Anolis sagrei: one gene and its partner. The protein of the gene in region 2 purifies or fractionates together with the protein of the main gene of each other region. This does not show direct contact. Links are inferred from orthologs where the notes say so. Each region holds a gene or a part of one and is shown on either strand. Other genes may lie near its edges.

Evidence for each region.
Region 1: the proteins of PSMA5 (region 2) and PSME2 purify together in Homo sapiens (co-immunoprecipitation; 5 studies listed by BioGRID and IntAct, with this or other methods). This does not show direct contact. The link is inferred for Anolis sagrei from reciprocal best matches to the Homo sapiens genes PSMA5 and PSME2.

What each region holds. Positions count from the first base shown.
Region 1 is NC_090026.1:8,178,387-8,189,258, reverse strand, and holds the start of PSME2 (proteasome activator complex subunit 2), read right to left. Parts: upstream 4,894-10,872; 5' UTR 4,762-4,893; coding exon 4,711-4,761; intron 4,279-4,710; coding exon 4,246-4,278; intron 3,000-4,245; coding exon 2,937-2,999; intron 2,627-2,936; coding exon 2,540-2,626; intron 2,198-2,539; coding exon 2,170-2,197; intron 1,730-2,169; coding exon 1,632-1,729; intron 1,511-1,631; coding exon 1,442-1,510; intron 1-1,441. UniProt on the Homo sapiens protein: Implicated in immunoproteasome assembly and required for efficient antigen processing. The PA28 activator complex enhances the generation of class I binding peptides by altering the cleavage pattern of the proteasome.
Region 2 is NC_090024.1:184,748,429-184,759,191, reverse strand, and holds the start of PSMA5 (proteasome subunit alpha type-5), read right to left. Parts: upstream 4,779-10,763; 5' UTR 4,590-4,778; coding exon 4,561-4,589; intron 1,895-4,560; coding exon 1,828-1,894; intron 1-1,827. UniProt on the Homo sapiens protein: Component of the 20S core proteasome complex involved in the proteolytic degradation of most intracellular proteins. This complex plays numerous essential roles within the cell by associating with different regulatory particles.

The DNA.
Region 1 (10,872 bases), on a different chromosome or scaffold from region 2:
ATGTACGTACTTTGAGTGACTGTATTTCAATATTAATATAGAGTAAATACAGAGTTAATGGTATGGTATCTTATAGGTTACTAGCCATCCCCTGTTGGCCATGAGGGTTCTGTATGGGAAGTTTGGCCGAATTGTATCATTGGTGGGCTTCAAAATGCTCTTTGATTGAAAGTGAACTATAAATCCCAGAAACTACAATTCCCAAATGTCAAGGTCTATTTTCCCCAAACTTCACCAGTGTTCACATTTGGGCCTATTGAGTATTCGTGCCAAGTTTGGTCCAGATACATCATTGATGGAGTTCACAGTGCTCTCTGGATGTAGGTGAACTACAGCTCTAAAACTCAAGGTCAATGCCCAACAAACCCTTCCAGTATTTTATGTTGGTCATAAGAGTTATGTGTGCCAAGTCCGGTTCAGTTGCATTGCTGGTGAAGTTCAGAATGCTCTTTGAATTGAAATGAACCATAAACTGCCGTAACTACAACTCCCAAATGACAAAATCAATCTCCCCCACAGCCCCACCAGTATTCAAATTTGGGCGTATTGGGTATTTGTGCCAAATTTGGTCAAGTGAATGAAAATACACCCTACATATCAGATATTTACATTACAATTCATAATAGTAGCAAAATTACAATTGCAACAAAAATAATGTTGTGGTTGGGGGTCACCACAACATGAGGAACTGCATTAAGGGGTCACAGTCTTAGGAAGGTTGAGAACCACTGTTCTATGGCATGCATATGTGTCTATGTGTTGTGTGTATGTGTATATACATATATACAAGTGTGCATAAATCTGTGTATCCATATAGGTGCGCATGTGTGTATAAATTTGTATGTGCATGAGTATATGCTTGTGTGTATATATGTGTGTGTATGCATATCTTTGTTTGTATAGGGGTGAGTATACACACACTCACACACATCAGTATATGTTATGTTATGTTTTATATTATATTATATTATTATATATTATATAATATTATATTATTATTATATATTATATTATATTATATTATATTATATTATATTATATTATATTATATTATATTATATTATATTATATTGTTGTATAGTATGTGGAGCCCCCGGTGGCGCAGTGGGTTAAACCCCTATGCCGGCAGGACTGAAGACCGACAGGTCGCAGGTTCGAATCCGGAGAGAGGCGGATGAGCTCCCTCTATCAGCTCCAGCTCCTGATGCGGGGACATGAGAGAAGCCTCCCACAAGGATGATAAAAACATCAAAATCATCCGGGCGTCCCCTGGGCAACATCCTTGCAGACAGCCAATTCTCTCACACCAGAAGCGACTTGCAGTTTCTCAAGTCACTCCTGACACGACAAAAAAAAATTATAGTATAGTATAGTATATTATGGATGCAAGGGGTCCATGCTCAATTGGGTCCAGGGACATACAGATCTCCATGGATCTTACCTGAACCGCCACCCCAAAATCATTGCCGTCTTCAATTTTGGGAATCATGAACTGAATCCAGGTGGTGACCTGATGGAACGAGAAGGGGAAACCGAGGCACAAATTTAGGACAGCAGCACATCTAGCACCATACAAATGTTTAGTACGTATTCCATCTTGTAAACAGAGCATTTGCTTGGTTCCAACTCACCAAGGCGCATTTCTCCTTGAACTCCCGCACTTCGGGTTTGACGCGATCCAAAAGCGACAGGATGGCTTCGTTGCCTTTCAGGTAGCCGCATTTGGGAGCTGAGAAGGAAACCAAATAATCAAGGGCAAGCCATAAAAGACTATCATTATTATCCCACCTAAAGGTAAAGGTAAAGGTAGTCCCCTGACATTAAGTCCAGTCATGTCTGACTCTGGGGTGTGGTGCTCATCTCCATTTCTAAGCCAAAGAGCCAGCGTTGTCCATAGACACCTCCAAGGTCATGTGGCCGGCATGACTGCATGGAGCGCCGTTACCTTCCCGCCGGAGCGGTACCTATTGATCTACTCACATTTGCATGTTTTCGAACTGCTAGGTTGGCAGAAGCTAGGGCTGACAGTGGAAGCTCACGCCGCTCCCCGGAATCGAACCTGCGACCTTTCGATCAACAAGCTCAGCAGCTCAGTGCTTTAATCCTATACCTACAGATCCCACCTACAGACCCCAATTCCCTGACTTTCCAATAGTGTTGTTTGCTCACCTTCTTTCTCTTCCTTCTCTGTTTCCATCTGGAGGGGGAACAAAAACAGACTCGACAACATCAAGCGTTGAACTTATAGGAAACACTAGAATTTCTTAATTGGTAGGGAAAAAATATTAAAAATAATAGAATCTTGGAAGGGATACCCTCAAAGGTCATCTAGTCCAACCCCATTTTAATAAATTCTGCGTTGGGGATGTATCAAACTTTGGCCCTCCAGGTGTTTTGGACTCCAACTCCCACAATTCCTAATAGCCTACCGGCTGTTAGGAATTGTGGGAGTTGAAGTCCAAAACACCTGGAGGGCTACAGTTGGCCCATACCTGGGATAGACCCAAAATTGGGCACTGGCTTTACTTGAATACCTCACCTCGTCATCTTTGGGAGGAGGATCTGGAATGGGAATATCCAGCGGAGCATGGAGAGAGGTCAGATCTTTGACATTCAGCGCATCTTCCTGGGGAAAAAAAGAGACAAAAATAAATATATTACAAGGAAAAAAGCAGAGATCATAAACTCAAGGTGCAACTACACTGCAGAGTTAATGCAGTTGGATACCACTTTAACTGCTATGGATCCTGGGAGTTGTAGTTTGGTGAGGCACCAGAACTCTGGCAGAGAGGGCTGAAGGCCTTGTGAAAACTACAACTCCCACAACCCCATAGCATTAAGCCATGGAAGTTAAAATGTGTCAAGCATCATTAATTCTATTATTTAGATGCACCAGGAATACTCAAAAAGGTGGGATGTGGGGGTCCGTCGCTTACCTTCAAGAACTGGTCCAACTGTGATATTTTCGCAGGTAAAAAACGGCAAAGGAATTCTTCACCCTAATCAGGAAATGCAAGAATAAAATTATCTTGAGAATATGAAAGATTGGGAAATTTTGAAACAAGGGGTGCATCTGCGCTGTCAAATTAGTACAGTGAATTTTGGACTTCCAGAAGCATTCTCTCCTGACGTTTCACCCACATCTATGGCAGGCATCCTCAGAGGTTGGGAGGTCTGTTGGAAACTAAGCAAGTGAGGTTTGTATATCTGTGGAATAATGTCCAGGGTGGGAGAAAGAACTCTTGTCTGTTGGAGACAAGTGAATGTTGCAATTGACCACCTTGATTACCACTGAATATCCTTGCAGCCTCAAAGCCTGGCTGCTTCCTGCCCAGGAGGAAAATGCGAGAATAAAGTTAGCTTGAGAATATGAAAGATTGAGAAATTTGAAAACAAGGGGTGCATCTACACTGTCAAATTAATGCAGTGAATTTTGGACTTCCAGAAGCATTCTCTCCTGACGTTTCACCCACATCTATGGCAGGCATCCTCAGAGATTGGGAGGTCTGTTGGAAACTAGGCAAGTGGGGTTCATTTACCTGTGGAATAGTGCCCAGGGTAGGAGAAAGAACTCTTGTCTGTTGGAGACAAGTGAATGTTGCAATTGACCACCTGTTCCTGGGGTTATTTGGGGCACTGATTCGGAAAATTATATTGAATTATTTTTTATGAGGCGAAGACTGCTATATTACTCTAAAATCATAACAGTAAATAAGGAACAACATTCAAAAATAGAGGAACTCCAGACAAGAAAGAGTCAGGGACAACTAACCATCTCCCAACAAAGGATTCCCCCAGGCAGTAAGAAATTATACTTCGAAAACTGGTAAGACCATTAAATGCTAAACAAGGTGGCCAATTGAAACATTCACACCTAGCTCCAGCAGACAAGAGTTCTTTCTCCCACCCTGGACACTATACCACAGATATATCAACCCCACTTTCCAACAGACCTCACAACCTCTGAGGATGCTCACGCTGGATTTGGAGCAGTACCTATTGATCTACTCGCATTTGCATGTTTTCAAACTGCTAGCTTGGCAGAAGCTGGGGCTAACAGCGAGAGCTCAAAATGGATTCAGAGTGGTACCTATTGATCTACTCACATTTGCATGTTTTCAAACTGCTAAGTTGGCAGAAGCTAGGGCTAACAGCAGGAGCTCACCCCGGATTCGAACCGCCGACTTTTCGGTCAGCAGCTCAGCGGTTTAACCCGCTGCGCCACCAGGAGTAATAGTCACTTACCTCTTTTAAAAGCGATTTCCGGAAAAGGTCCATCTGGAAAGAGATCAAAACAAAAAAATATGAATTGTTTCAGAATACAGATTGAATTGAATTATATGGATCTATAAGCATGGGCAAACTTGGGCCCTCTGGGTGTTTTGGACTCCAACTCCCACAATTCCTAACAGCCTACCGGCTGTTAGGAATTGTGGGAGTTGGAGTCCAAAACACCCAGAGGGCCCAAGTTTGCCCATGCTTATAGATCCATATAAACCAATTCAATCTGTATTCTGAAACTAAATGATGGAGATGATGGGACTTGTAGTCCACCTGAATGCTAACTTCCCTTATCTTTGTTTACCATGGAAATCCCCCTCCCTTCCAAAGTAAAAGTAAAAGTCATTGACCTTCTTTCTCTGCTTTCTCTCCCCAAATCCCTTTCTGGGCTTTGCTCTTGCCCCCCATGGATTCCCCTGGGATGCCCACCTTTCCTTGGGTCTCCTTGCTGATCTGGAGGGAGGTGCAGGACCTGGGCATGATGGCTTGGTTTGGAGGCTTCCAGGGAGAGGTTCAAGGCAAAGACCAAGCAGGCTCCTTCCCCAAACGCTGAGCCACCTTTTGACGCGTCTTTCGCTTTCGCATTCACACGTTTCCGCCCACCACGCGAGGGCTGCCCCGCCCTCCAGGCAGGGGTGCCTCTGACCATGCGCAGAGTGCCTTTTGGACTGCAGGCAGAGCTCCTTTTCCATTCTTCTCCATTTAAGTTTGCATTGCAATGCCTCTGAGCATGCACAGAGTGCCTTTTGGACTACAGGCAGATCTCCTTTTCCATTCTTCCCCATTGTAATAACTCTGACCATGTGCAGAGTGCCTTTTCGACTACAAGCAGAGCTCCTTTTCCATTCTTCCCCATTTAAGTTTTAATTGCCGTGTCTCTGAGCATGCACAGAGTTCCTTTCCAGTCTTCTCCATTTAAGTTTTCATTGCAATGTCTCTGATCATGCACAGAGTTCCTTTTCCATTCTTCCCCATCTAAGTTTGCATTGCAACGCCTCTGAGCATGCACAGAGTTCCTTTTGGACTACAGGCAGGTCTCCTTTTCCATTTTCCTTTCAGGTCTTCTCCATTTAAGTTTGCATTGCCATGCCTCTGAGCACGCACAGAGTTCCTTTTGGAGTACAGGCAGAGCTCCTTTTCCATTCTTTCCAATCTAAGTTTGCATTGCAATGGCTCTGAGCATGCACAGAGTTCCTTTTGGACTAAAGGCAGATTTCCCTTTCCAGGCTTCTCCATTTAAGTTTGCATTACAATGCCTCTGAGCATGCACAGAGTTCCTTTTGGACTACAAGCAGATCTTTTCCACTCTTCCCCATTGTAATAACTCTGAGCATGTAGAGAGTGCCTTCTGGACTACAGGCAGTTTTCCCTTTCTAGTCTTCTCCATTTAAGTTTGCATTACAATGCCTCTGAGCATGCACAGAGTTCCTTTTGGACTAAAGGCAGTTTTCCCTTTCCAGTCTTCTCCATTTAAGTTTGCATTACAATGCCTCTGAGCATGCACAGAGTTCCTTTTGGACTAAAGGCAGATCTCCTTTTCCATTCTTCTCCATTTAAGTTTGCATTGCAATGCCTCTGAGCATGCACAGAGTTCCTTTTGGACTGCAGGCAGATCCTTCTTTTTTGATCTTATCCATTTAGATTTGCATTGCCATGCCTCTGAGCATGCACAGAATTCCTTTTCCATTCTTCCCCATCTATGTTTGCATTGCAATGCCTCTGAGCATGCACAGAGTTCCTTTTCCATTCTTCCCCATTTAAATTTGTATTGCAATGCCTCTGCGCATGCATAGAGTTCCTTTTGGACTACAGGCAGATCTCCTTTTCAATTCTTCTCCATTTAAGTTTCCATTGCAATGCCTCTGAGCATGCACAGAGTTCCTTTTCCATTCTTCCCAATTTAAATTTGCATTGCAATGCCTCTGAGCATGCACAGAGTGCCTTTTAGAGTACAGGCAGAGCTCCTTTTCAGTTCTTCTCCATTTAAGTTTGCATTGCAATGCCTCTGAGCATGCACAGAGTGCCTTTTGGGGTACAGGCAGAGCTCCTTTTCCATTCTTTCCAATCTAAGTTTGCATTGCAATGCCTCTGATCATACACAGAGTGTCTTTTGGAGTACATGTCAATCTTCTTTTCCATTCTTCCCCATTTAAGTTTGCATTGCAGTGCCTCTGAGCATGCACAGTGAGCCTTTTGGGGTACAGGCAGAGCCTCTGAGCATGTACAGAGCATGTACAGAGTACAAATAGGTTTCCTTTTCCATACTTTGGACTATAGGCAGATCTCCTTTTCCAGTCTTCTGCATTTAAGTTTACACTGTAATGTCTTTGAGCATGCACAGAGTGCCTTTTGGAGTACAGGCAAAGCTCCCTTTCCATTCTTCCTCATTCAAGTTTGCATTGCAATGCCTCAGAGCATGCATAGAGTGCCTTTGGGAGTCCAGGCAGAGCTCCTTTTCCAGTCTTCCCCATTGTAATGCCTCTGACCATGTGCAGAGTGCTTTTAGGAATATAGGCAGAGCTCCCTTTCCAGTCCCCGGTTAGGTTTGCATTGTAATGCCTCTGACCATGCACAGAGTTCCTTTTGGACTAAAGGCAGATTTCCCTTTCCAGTTTTCTCCATTTAAGTTTGCATTGCCATGCCTCTGAGCATGCACAAAGTGCCTTTTGGACTACAGGCAGGTCCCCTTTTCCATTCTTCCCCATTTAAGTTTGCATTGCAATGCCTCTGACCATATGCAGAGTGCATTTTGGAGTACAGACCAATCGACTTATCCATTCTCCCCCATTTAGGTTTGCATTGTAGTGCCTCTGACCATGCGCAGAGTGTATTTTAGAATACAAGCAGGGTAGGTTTGCATTGTAATGTCACTGAGTGTATTTTGGAATAGAGGCAGACCTCCTTTTCCATTGTTTCCCGCTTAGGTTTGCATTGCAATGCCTCTGACCATGTGCAGAGTGCTTTTAGGAATATAGGCAGATGTCCTTTTCCAGTCTTCCCCATCTAAGTTTGCATTGCAATGCCTCTGACCATGTGCAGAGTGCTTTCAGGAAGATAGGCAGATCTTTTCCAGTCTTCCCCATCCAAGTTTGCATTGCAATGCCTCTGACCAAGTGCAGAGTGCTTTATGAGCTTAGCAGTTCTTATATCCACCTCCCCCCCCCCAAGGTATAGTTTGCATTGTAATGCCTCTGATCACGTGCAGAGTGCTTTTAGGAATATAGGCAGATCTCCTTTTCCAGTCTTTACTATTTAAGTTTGCATTGCAATGCCTCTGACCAAGTGCAGAGTGCTTTTAGGAATATAGGCAGATCTTCTTTTCCAGTCTTTACTATTAAGTTTGCATTGCAATGCCTCTGACCAAGTGCAGAGTGCTTTTAGGAATATAGGCAGATCTCCTTTTCCAGTCTTTACTATTAAGTTTGCATTGCAATGCCTCTGACCAAGTGCAGAGTGCTTTTAGGAATATAGGCAGATCTCCTTTTCCAGTCTTTCTTATTTAAGTTTGCATTGCAATGCCTCTGACCAAGTGCAGAGTGCTTTATGAGCTTAGCAGTTCTTATATCCACCTCCCCCAATGAAGATGATGACAACAAAAAGCAAGACACTTTCCCAATACTGGAATCCCCAAGCATTCTGAGCATGCGCAGAGACATCCTGGTCGAAAGGATTTCCCGTCTGGCTTGGCTCAGTAGTGGAGCTGCAGTTCTTCCTCCCGCCAGACGGTGCCGCTGTCGGCGTCCTCCTGCCAGCTTAGCCTTGCCCTTCCCTTTCGTTTTCCGTTCCTTTTGGCTCTTCCGCTTCAGTCCTCAGCTGTTGGGCTCTTTGGAGGAGGAAGGGGCTCCACTTCCGGCTCTAATTGGTAAGCAGGACCCCTTGTTGAGGGGTTTCTCCTTCCCATTCCTATATACAAGTTAAATGTATATTTAAAGGAATAGATAGTTAAAAGTTAAGTATGTATTCAAAGGAAATAGTAATTTTAAGGCAGGCCTGGGCCAACTTGGGCCCTCCAGGTGTTTTGGACTACAACTCCCACAATTCCTAACAGCCTCAGGCCCCTTCCATAGGAAGGGGCCTGAGGCTGTTAGGAATTGTGGGAGTTGTAGTCCAAAACACCTGGAGGGCCCAAGTTGGCCCAGGCCTGCTTTGAACTGTATATTAAAGGGACTATAATAAATAAAAGTTAAATATATATTTAATAGAATATATAATCTGTAAAGGCCAAAGTTAAAAGTCTAATATATGTATTTAAAGATCTATACAATACAATAAAGTTATATATTTTTAAAAACTATATAATACATAAAAGTTAAATGTCTATTTAAAGGAATATATCATGTTAAATGTTATCTATATAAATAAAAATGGAATGTTCGTTTGTGGGATTAACAGAACTCAAAACCCACTGGACGAATTGGCACCAAATTTGGACACAATACACCTAACAACCCAATTTACGTCCTTCACTAAAAAAAATTTGATTTTGTCATTTGGGAGTTGTAGTTGCTGGGATTTATAGTTCACCTCTGGTTGCTTCTGGATACGAAAGCTGACTGGCACAACCTGGGGATCACAACCAGACACAGTGAAGACATCTGTCCTTGCGCTGTGCTACTCTGCTGCTGAGTATGCATGCCCAGTGTGGAACACATCTCACCACGCTAAAACAGTGGATGTGGCTCTTAATGAAACATGCCGCATTATCACAGGGTGTCTGCGCCCCACACCAATGGAGAAATTACACTGCTTAGCCGTTATTGCACCACCTGACATCCGCCGGGAAGTAGCAGCCAATAGTGAAAGGACCAAGGCAGAGACATCTCCAGCTCATCCCCTGTTTGGGTATCAGCCAGCACGTCAACGACTTCAATCAAGACATAGTTTTCTTAGATCTACAGAGACACTCGCTGGAACACCCCAGCAAGTGAGAGTCCAAAAGTGGCAGGCCCAAACCCAGCACCTCAATCCATGGGTGATACCAGATGAGAGACTCCCCCGTGGGCACACAGAAGACTGGGCGACTTGTAAGGCGCTGAACAGACTGCGCTCTGGCACCACGAGATGCAGAGCCAACCTTCAGAAATGAGGCTACAAAGTGGAATCTACGACATGCGAGTGGGGAGAAGAGCAAACCACTGACCACCTGCTGCAATGCAACCTGAGCCCTGCCACATGCACAATGGAGGACCTTCTTGCGGCAACACCAGAGGCACTCCAAGTGGCCAGATACTGGTCAAAGGACATTTAATCAACTACCAAATTTGCAAAATCTGTGGGTTTTTTTCTTTTTCTTTTTAATCTGTGTGTTTGCTTTGCTCTGTTAGAATTGTAATACAATGGTATGGTTGCTGATGACACCATAAATAAATAAATAAATAAATAGTTCACCTACAATCAAAGAGCATTCTGGACCCCACAAACGACAGAATTGGGGCAAATTTCCCACACAGAACCCTGATGACTGACAGAAAATATTTAAGGTCATCCAGTCCGACTATCTTCACTAGGGCAAGAAAATGTAATCAAAGCCCTCCTGACAAAGAGTCATCCAGTCAAAAATATAGATAGATATATATGATTCTATGTATTGACGAAGATCCACCCAGAGGAAAAGTGTGCTTGCTATACATCAAGGGAACCACTGACCGCATAGGGAAGCTGATGAGGAAATACAACATACAAACTATCTACAGAAACACCAAGAAAATCCAACAAATGTTACGTTCAGCAAAGGACAAGAGGGATCCTCTCACCTCTGCAGGAGTCTACCGTATCCCATGCAGCTGTGGACAAGTCTACATAGGGACCACCAAACGCAGCAGCATTGCCCAGATACGCATCAAGGAACATGAAAGGCACTGCAAGGTAATTCAACCAGAGAAGTCAAGCCATAGCAGAGCACCTGAGGAACCAACCTGGACACAGCATATTATTTGAGAACACAGAAATGCTGGACCACTCTCACAACCACCATGTCAGACTACACAGAGAAGCCATCGAAATCCACAAGCATGTGGACAATTTCAACAGAAAGGAGGAAACCATGAAAATGAACAAAATCTGGCTACCAGTATTAAAAACTCTAAAATTACAACAGCTCAACAACAGAGAGGAAACAAACAAGGACATCTAATCACCTCTCAACAAAAGTTTGCTCTAGGCACTGTCAAAGCAAGACACTGTCAAGCCATTATATGCTAATCAAGGTGGTCAGTTGAAACATTCACACCTAGCTCCAGCAGACAAGAGTCTTTTGTCCCACCCTGGTCATTCCACAGATATAGAAACCCATTTTTCTAGTTCCAACAGACCTCACTACCTCTGAGGATGCTTGCCATAGATGCCGGCAAAACATCAAGAGAGAATGCCTCTAGACCATGGCCATATAGCCCGAAAAAACCTACAACAACCCGTATATGATTCTGTATAAGGACCAAGTAGCAACAGTAAGAACTGACCATGGAACAACATATTGGTTCAAGATTGGAAAAGGTGTACGACAGGGTTGTATCCTCTTCCCCAACCTATTCAACTTGTATGCAGAACACATCAAGCGGGGCTTGACAAATGCAAGGCTGGGGTGAAAATTGC
Region 2 (10,763 bases):
CCTAACAGTGGGAGCTCACCCCGTTCCCCATATTCAAACTGCCAAGCTTTCGGCTAGCAAGTTCAGCAGCTCAACGGCTTAACTCCTGCGCAACCAGGGGCTCGCAACATACTATATTGGTCACTAATTGGGAGGAACACACTGAATATGTCTATAAATTATGCTTTCTTAGGCACCTGGAAACAGGTGTATCTCTTAGATAGACTGGTGAGGAGCTCTTAAGTGTTGGTCACTCAGAGGTTAGCTAGGAACAGTCAACAACTACTTCAGAAATGTCAGATGATCACAGTCCACCTCTAGAACTTCACAGCTATAAGAGAAGATGGATATCTGTCACATTTGCCTTACAGTGGTAGCATGATCACCACAGTAAACATGGTGACTGAAAATATTAAAACCTACACATTAGTTATCTACTCATACAACCAGCACAACAGGTGAGTCAGGATTTCAATGACACTAGCTGTTCCTATGTACCAATTTCCAGTTCCTACAGTTTCATTTAGCTATTTTCTCATCTTACAAAAAGGAAAATGTGACCTGCATTTTAAGCTATGGCAAAATGAAGAAGTAGTTCTGAAGAATGCCAATCTTGTGCAATTCCACTATGAATAATTACATGAAAAATGGAAATATTCGATTCTGTCATTTTTATTTAGATAAGCTGTCCATTGATGTAACAAGGTGCTGTTTTTTCACCTGTCCCAAATATACATCAGTATACTAAGAAACATCACAAAATACTGCAGCACAGTACACAGAGATGACCAGGGAATGGTGCTTGTAGGGAAGCCAAATGTACAAAGGTTTGACTACAGAAAGCCTCTGTCGAAGCCTTAAAGCAGGAGTGTGCAAAATTCAGCCCTCCACATATTAATGGGTTGTCAGTAGCGGTAGTTGAGGCTTATGGGCATTCCAGTCCAACAAAATCTGGAGGGCTGAACACTACAGGGCTATACTGTGTCACTCCCTGGTTTAAACATTCAAAATCATTACTTTTTAAATCCTTTCTTTTTGATCACATGGGTGTTATGACTAAGATAAAAAGTGTATGACATAACTAAACATACACAAAACTATGGTAATAATAATCATAATAATTAAAAAACTTTATTTATACCCGCCAAGAAGGACTTGAGGTGGCTTACAGAAGCACATACAAGTGCCATAACCACATGAAATACAGGTAAAATCACATCAATATATCAGACGAGACAGTAGTACACAATATGTATTGGCTCCACAATCTAAGCACAAATTCATAATGAAGATGACTAGTTGCTCTCTTCTATGAAGTTTCTATGCCAAATTCATTAAAATGAATTCTAATGCAGTCTGGACGAAAGTGCTACAAACCAATTTAAAACAGCTATATTGTAAAGCAGAAACATTAAAGCCTAGTGTGAGCTAAGTGTGTAATTCTGGTAAGAGAAGGAGAGAAAGACAGAGAGAGAAGTTTCATGCCTTTTACAGTATGCAAAAAGGTATATTGGAATGACTTTAGAATTTTTTTTGGAAGTAATATATGAGAAGATATTATCTGACTTTCATGGTCAGTCCTAGGCCTCCTGTGAGCAATCTTCTTTCCCTCCCCTACCTACAGTAACTCTCAAGGAATTACTCAAATTAATATTCCAGAAGTATGCAACTGTATATAGCAAAAGATCACATGAAAAAAAAAATATTTCTGAATTCAAAAATACATATTTGGGAGCACATTGCTGAAATTCTGCAGTTTAATCTTTGAGATTTCCCATTCCAATCCATCCATCCTTGTAGAATGGATGTGGAAATATTTAAGACAATCGTTTCAAATGTTTATTGTACCTTGATAGCTTCAATGGCATATTCCACCTGGAATAATCTTCCCTCTGGAGAAAAAGTGTTCACACCCCTATAATTGGAAGACAAAAGTCAAATGTATAACCTAATACTATGCATGTTTACTCAGAATTTAATGTTCCTAGGACCAAAATCTTCAACAATGCTAAAGACATGTGCCAGCAGATCACATATTCAATTGAAATAATGGTACTGACTGCATTAAAGCAAGGGCATTTATTTATTCATTTCATTTCTAATCAACAGAACAACCTGTTGAAAACCTAAGATACAAAACATCAACAAAACATGAAAATTGTTCAGGGTAAGGCCAAAGCAAAAGAGATCAAAGTGTGATCACATTAGCCTTACTCCAAGTTTCCAGTGTACTTGGTAATGTCTCTTTATTAAATTAATATGAAATATTTCCGCAAAAATGTGTAGCTTTAAATAATTTTAAAATTAACTTATATTAATTTTTTTAATGAAACTATAAAACAAATTAAAAATTGCAAGAATTAAAGAAGTAACATTTAGATTCCCTAAAGAATGAGACAACTTCAACATATAAAAAGGTGCATTTCTCTTAGCAGGATAACACGCTAAGGCCCATTGTACACTGCCATATAAAATCCAGATTATCTGCTTTGAACCAAATTATATGGCAGAGTAGATTCATATAATTCAGATAAAAGCACATAATGTGCATTATCTGCTTTGATAATCTGGATTTTAAGGCAGGGTAAGAGGGGCCTGAAGACACTTGAGCAGTGAGAAGGCCCTTCATTTAGTATTTGTTTATAAAATTAATATTAGCAGGACTCTATAAATTTATTTGATATTCTCTATATAACTAATTTAAATTTTCTAGTTTTCTTTTTCTTTCTTTACAATACATTTCCAAGTTATTTTCTTATGTAACATTTAGCTTCATCTCATGTAGAAGGATGAATGATTAATAAGTTCAGCCCAGCTCAGTGTAACTGAAAGCAAAAGCTTCTCACTATGACTAAGGAAACTGGTTGAGGCCTTTCCTACTCAGCAACTGAGACAGTACTTTATTGTTGCACAATGCAGTTAGCTCTGTTTGCCCTGAACAGGAATATGTTAACTTACTACTACCTTGAGATCTATGATAAATACAGGGGACCTTTATATATACATTTCTAATTAGCATACAATTTGAAAAAAGGGACATAAACCTCTCCAGCAACAAATCACTTGTTCCTTTGCCTATTGGTGAGCATATTGGAAACACAAATAAAAAAGAGATAGGTTACTGTGAGTAATCTATATAATGACTAGAAGACCTCAATGGTCTCATCCAATTCTTTGTTTCTATGATTCTGCAGTGAGATAGCTTGGAGATGGAACCTGAGTTAAACATGAAATTAATTTCTGGTTCATATTCACCTAGCCGGAAGGTAATTTTACAAACAATATTTTAAAAAATGTATGTGCATGAAGCAAAGTTAGTGTATGCTGAACCATCAGAAAGCAAAGGTGTCACTATTACAGTCACCCACGTGGACAAGTTTGGAACATTTCAGGTTTCTGGATAAAGGATACTCAAGCTGTATAATGACAGATGTCTTTGTAATAAATATTAGCTATTGATGCCTCTACCCTCCAGGTGTTTTGGACTCCAATTCCCACAATTCCTAACAGCCGGTAGGGACAAAGTTTGCCCATGCCTGCTCTACACTGTAGAATTGATGCAGTTTGATACTTTAACATCTGTGGCTCTATATTATTGTTGTTTTTATTTTTGGTAGGGGGTGAGGGGGTTATATTAAACCACAGAAGTGAAAGTGTTGTCAAACTGCATTAACAGTACAAATCGGGCCTACACAATCTCTGGCCTTCCTGGTATTTAAGATTTCAACCCCCAGAAGTCTTAGCCAGCTTTTCCAATGGTCATGAATTTAGAGAGCTGAAGTTCAAAACACCTGGAGGACCATGAGTTCTGCAGGCCTGATATAGATGGTGCCTATGTATCTAGTGTGCATGCTGAACAAGATGCCTTAGGTCCATGGTTCTCAACCTGTGGGTCCCCAGGTGCATTGGGCTACAACTCCCAGAAAGCCCAGCCAGTTTACCAGCTGTTAGGATTTCTGAGAGTTGAAGGCCAAAAACATCTGGGGACCCCAGGTTGAAAACCACTGACTTAGGACCATGGTTCTCAACCTGTGGGTCCCCAGGTGTATTGGCCTACAACTCCCAGAAAGCCCAGCCAATTTACCAGTTGTTAGGATTTCTGAGAGTTGAAGGCCAAAACATCTGGGGACCCACAGGTTGAGAACCACTGCCTTAGGAGAATGAATGCAGTTTGGCACCATTTTAACTGTCATGGCTCAATGCTATGGGGAAAATGGGAATTGTAGTTTGTGGAGCCACCAACACTCTTTGGCACTGAAGGCTAAAAACCTTTTAAAACTACAACTCCCGGGAGAAGTGGTGTCAAACTGCATTCATTCTACAGTGTAGAAGAACCTTGACTGTGCAAAAAGGAAGCTCAGAGGGGTGACTAAGCGCATCCCAAAGGCCCCTCGTCCCACTGAAGGAACCAAGTGGTGGGCTCCAGAAAATGGGGAAGGGGAGGAAGAAGCGGAAGCAGCTCTCCCCCACTTCCGTTGGCATGTAAACGCCGAGCGAGCGAGGGAGCGCGCCGGGCCTCCCAGAGTGACTCAGCCCCGGCAGGACCAGGCCGCGCCTCCTTCTCCTCCTGGCCCAACTCACCTGTCGTACTCGGAGCGAGTGAGGAACATGTTGCTGTTAGCGACAGTGGCAGGAGCAGCAGAGGAAAAGGATGGGACGGAAGGGCGCCCGAGGGGAGGCCGCAAACCTGACTGGAAGCCGCTACTTTAGGTCGAGGATGGCTGCGGCCCTGTCAGCGTAGCACCCGGTTTCACTAGCCACTGCGTCCCGCGCATGCGTGGTCCTGCGCGCCGTACGTCTCGCACGCTCCGCCGACCAATCGGATGCCGAAGCGGGATCTTACAAAGCTATCTTCTCATTGGCCCTTACGGGGAAGCTCGATGCAAGCGCTGATTGGCTGTCGGATGCCAGTCTTTTTGGACTTCAACTCCCACAATTCCTAACAGTCGGGAGGCTGTTAGGAATTGTGGGAGTTGAAGTCCAAAACACCAGGAGGGCCCAAGCTTGCCCATGCCTGATCTACACCGTAAAATGAATGCAGTTTGACCCCTTTTCAGCTGCCATGACTGAATGCTATGGACTCATAGGAGCTGTAGTAAATCAAAACAGTAAATAAAGAACAGCACTCAAAAACGGGGGAGTTCCAGACAAGAAACAATCAGGGCCAGCTAACCACCTCCCAACAAAGAGTTCCCCCGGGCAATAAGCAGCCAAGCCTTGAAGCTGCAAGGCCATTCAATGCTAATCAAGGCGGTCAATTGCAACATCCACACTTGCTTCAAACAGACAAGAGTTCTTTCTCCCACCCTGGACATTCCACAATGTGAAATATGGATTACGCATAGCAGAGTGTAAATTTAGGATAATCATGATTCTAAATTTATGTGATCTCAGAAGGCATCAGTTATGGGATGCTGGAGTGCACTATTAGTTTGATTTTCCAGTACTTTTCCATAGTTCCTAAGATATAGGTCCAACTCCATTAGAACCTACTCCTGGATACCTCACAGACCTCACAACAGACTTCACAACCTCTGAGGATGCTTGCCATAAATGCAGGCGAAAGGTCAGGAGAGAATGCCTCTAGAATATGGCCACATAGCCCGAAAAAACCTACAACAACCCAATTTTGAAAAGAACTCCTCATCGGTATTGTAACAAAGTGCTTTCAAGTAAATAATAAAGAGGAACGTAACTAATCAATCCTAAATGCAGGTACACATGCAAAGAGAGAACAGACTACAAATCCCAGCATTCCATCGCATTGAACCAGGAGAGTTGAGGCGGTAGCAAACTGCATTGATTCAACATTGTGGAGTCAATCCAACCATATTATCCAATCCCCGCGCCCTCTTCCTGAATCAGCCGCTTTCTTATTGAGCTGTGCTCCTTCCTCGTCCACACGCACCCTCGCATACTCACGCGTACCCATCCCGCTTCAAGGCTCCTGGTGAAAGGATACACGCGGCTCTATGGATAAAGGTAAACAGTCCAAACAGTCACGGGAAGGGACGAAGGCTTTCTATCAAACACACAACCTGTTGTCGAAGGCTTTCATGGCTGGAATCACTGGGTTGTTGTAGGTTTTTCGGGCTATATGGCCATGTTCTAGAAGCATTCTCTCCTGACGTTTCGCCTGCATCTATGGCAAGCATCCTCAGAGGTTGTGAAGTCTGTTGTGAGACCTCACAACCTCTGAGGATGCTTGCCATAGATGCAGGCGAAACGTCAGGAGAGAATGCTTCTAGAACATGGCCATATAGCCCAGAAAACCTACAACAACCCAGACAACCTGTTGCTGGTGGTCCGTTCTGCAGCGTAGATGACGAGAGGGAGGAAGGAGGCGAAGGACACAAGGCAGCCGGCCAGAAAAGATGCTGGGAGGGCAGTGCCAAAGGCAGGCTCATCCTCACTCCTTGGAAGTCAGATGGGAGACGCTCCCTTCACCGGAACCCAGGAGGATTATTGCTGCGTTCAGCAAAGGACAAAAGGGATCCTCTCGCCTCTGCAGGAGTCTACTGTATACCATGCAGCTGTGGACAAGTCTACATAGGGGCCACCAAACGCAGCGCCCAGACACGCATCAAGGAACATGAAAGGCACTGCAGACTACTTCAACCAGAGAAGTCAGCCATAGCAGAGCACCTGATGAACCAGCCTGGACACAGCATATTATTTGAGAACACAGAAATGCTGGACCACACCAACAACCACCATGTCAGACTACACAGAGAAGCCATTGAAATCCACAAGCATGTGGACAATTTCAACAGAAAGGAAGAGACCATGAAAATGAACAAAATCTGGCTAACAGTATTTTAAAAAAACTCTAAAATTATAACAGTAAATAAAGAACAAATCTCAAACACTGGGGAACTCCAGACAAGAAACAATCAGGAACATCTAATCACCTCTCAACAGGAAGTGATAAGCCACACCTAAAAATGTCACAGAATTAAATGCTAATCAAGGTGGCCAATTGAAACATTCACACCTAACTCCAACAGACAAGAGTTCAATGTATTGTCGAAGGCTTTCATGGCTGGAATCACTGGGCTGTTGTAGGTTTTTTGGGCTGTATGGCCATGTTCTAGAGGCATTCTCTCCTGATGTTTCACCTGCATCTATGGCAAGCATCCTCAGAGGTTGTGAGGTCTCATAACCTCTGAGGATGCTTGCCATAGATGCAGGTGAAACGTCAGGAGAGAATTCCCCTAGATTCTAGAACATGGCCATACAGCCCGAAAAAACCTAAAACAACCCAGACAAGAGTTTTTTCTCCCACCCTGGACCTTCCACAGATATATAAACCCAATTTTCCTAGTTTCCAACAACCTCTGAGGATGCCTGCCACAGATGCAGGTGAAAGGTCAGCCTGAAAAACCTACAACAACCCAGTGATTCTAGCCATGAAAGCCTTCAAAAATACATTATTGCAAGTGCTTGATAAATTGAATTTCTAGTTGCTTAAGAGTTACTATTTAAAATAAGCCTAACTACGGTCATACTCTACTATACCATAAACTCTGTATTGACTTCATATTTATATTGAAATACAATAATTAAAAGCAAATTAAAACAAACTAAACTTGATCATAAAAACAGCATTGTGGGTGTAGTATTATTTGCTGCCTCAAGGCATAAGGAGGCGTGGGTAAAAAATAAGTTATTATTAATAATAATTCTTGATTATTTTTATTTGCTTTGCTGCAGAATAAATTCCTTTTCACACCATTTTGACTGTCATGGCTCAATGCTGTGGAATCGTGGGTGTTGTGGTTATAGAAGGTCTTGTATGGCTCATGAAACTACAGCTCCAAAAAACCCCACATCTTTGAACCTGGCGGATAAAGTTCTGTCAAGCTGTATTAATTCTACAGTGTAGATGCAGCCTTTACCTTCTGGCACCAGCAAAATGCAAATTCACATACCTTGGCATCTGTATTGTATGTTAAAATGGGAAAGAGGGAAACAGTAATGAGATATAGAGCAGATGCATACTCTGCTTACCTGTCCGAACAGATCTCTTCCTATGAACCAGCTAGGACGTTAAGATCATCTGGGGAGGCCCTGCTCTCGGTCCCACCTGCATCACAAGTATGGTTGGCGGGGACGAGAGACAGGGGCTTCTCAGTGGTGGCCCCTCGGTTGTGGAATGCCCTTCCTACAGAAATTAGATCGGCCCCCTCCCTGTTAACATTTCGGAGGAAATTGAAGACCTGGTTATTCAAGCAGGCATTTGAATAGGCAGTGTAACTAATACAGAAATATGGAACAATTGGATGATGAGACTGGATCTTGATTTTAACTATGAGATGATATGAGATGTTTGATGCTTATTGATTGTTATAATGTTATTCTTTTAAATTGTTCTCACCTGTTTTTATCATGTTTTAAGTATTGTATTTGCTGTTGTGAACCGCTCTGAGTCACCCTGAGGGCTGAGAAGAGCGGTATACAAATATAGTAAATAAATAAATGTATGGACAGGAGGAGGGTGGGGTGGGCTCTGCCAAAACCTTGGCTGCATCTTCACCATAGAAATATGCATTTTGACACCACTTTAATTACTATGAATTTTTTCGTGTCAGGAGTGACTTGAGAAACTGCAATTTGCTTCTGGTGTGAGAGAATTGGCTGTCTGCAAGGATGTTGCCCAGGGGATGCCTGGATGTTTTATCATCCTTGTGGGAGGCTTCTCTCATGCCCCCGCATGGGGAGCTGGAGCTGACAGAGGGGGTTCATCCATGCTCTCCCTAAATTCAGACCTGTGACCTGTTGATCTTTAGTCCTGCCGGCACAGGAGTTTAACCCCCTGTGCCACCGGGGGCTCCATAGCCATGACTCAATACTATGGAATACTGGAAGTTGTAGTTTGGTTAGGCACCACCACTTATTAGCAGAGAAGGCTAAAAAATATATAAAACTACAATTTCCATGAAGTAGTAAAAGTAAAGGTTTCCCCTTGACATTAAGTCTAATCGTGTCTGACTCTGGGAGGTGGTGCTCATCTCCATTTCTAAGCCATAAGACCTGGCATTGTCCATAGATGCACCATTACCTTCCTGCCCGAGCAGTATCTATTGAACTACTCACATTTGCATATTTTTTGTAATACTGGGTTGGCAGAAGTTAGGGCTAACAGTGGGAGCTCACCCCACTTCCCAGATTCCCTTTCAATCAGCAAGTTCAGTAGCTCAGTGGTTTAATCCGCTGCACCACTGAGGGCTCCATCACAATTTCTGTAATTCCATAGCAATTAACTGTATTAATTCTACAGTGTAGATGCATCCCTTATGCACCTGAAATGTCTCAGCAGCATGTGCCAAGGTGTTCTTGAGCAGTTGATCTTACTACCAATCTATAGGCACTTGGCGGCTATTCAATTTCTCCCTTTTTAATGGAGTTTGTGGTTTGCAAATAGATGGAGAAATCAGTGAGACCTGAATACTGCCTCTCCACCTGTGGAGAAGACATTGCACAATGAAAGCATCCTCTGGAAGCATCTTATGGCTCAGCAGAGTGACACTAAAATATTCACTGCCTCTTGATCAAAATGGAGAGGTCCAGAGACTTGTATATGAAGGAGAACCCCGTGAGTGATCTGACTCAGCAAATCCACTTCTCAGTCTCTAGATACAGCCTCTTGTGAAAGTAAACTACTTGCATTTCCCTTCAGTTGCCATGGTGGCACAGCAATGAGGGAATTGATGCCCGTAGTCCCCATTTCAAAATGTATTGTGCCTGCACATTAGTAGTAAATTGCCATGCCGTATTGGTACTTTACTTCATAGACTACTCCCTTTCTCTTATACAACTTCTTCTCATATCTGAATAATAAATACATCAACTGAAGTGGTGAGTTTTTAATTTATGAATTGTTATTAAAATATTTTGATCCTGACCTTTTAACGTGAAACCTCAGAATGGCAAACAAATCAAACAATATGATAGATAGATAGATACGTTTTATTGATTGGCCTATTGGCCGTATCAAAACATTTAACACAAACAATATGAACAATTGGGTTGCTGGGAGTTTTCTGGACTGTATGGCCATGATCCAGAAGCATTCTCTCCTGACATTTCACCCACATCTATGGCAGGCATCTTCAGAGGTTGTGAGACCTGTTGGAAACTAGGCAACTGAGGTTTATATATCTGTGGAATGTCTGGGGTGGGAGAAAGAACTCTTGTCTGTTTGAAGCAGGTGTGTATGTTGCAATTGGCCACCTTGATTAGCATTGAACGGCCTTGCAGTGTCAAAGCCTGGCTGCTTCCTGCTTGGGGGAATCCTTTGTTGGGAAGTGTGGTGGTTTAGGTGGTTCAGTTCATCTCGGAGGAGGTGGGATTTGCAGATTCTTTTTGCACGGTCTGCCAAGGCTTTAATGGTATTTCTTTTTTGACTTGTGTGATGGTTGGAGTTTTTATGTAGGTATCTATCTATCTCTGTGTGCGGGTTTTCTGTAAACAGTGTAACCCTATTGTTGATTGGATTTGAAACTTATCCAGGAGTAGGTTCTAATGGAGTTGGACCTATATCTTAGGAATTATGGAAAAGTACTGGAAAATCAAACTAATAGTCAGTCCACTCCAACATCCCATAACTGATGCCTTCTGAGATCACATAAATTTTGAATCATGATGATCCTAAATTTACACTCTGCTATGTGTAATCCATATTGCACATTGTTCTACTGGTGATAACTCACAAATTGCTCTTCTTTGGTATCCACCTATTCAGTCTCATTATAATGTGAATTGCAGGTCCTCCATTCTCTTGC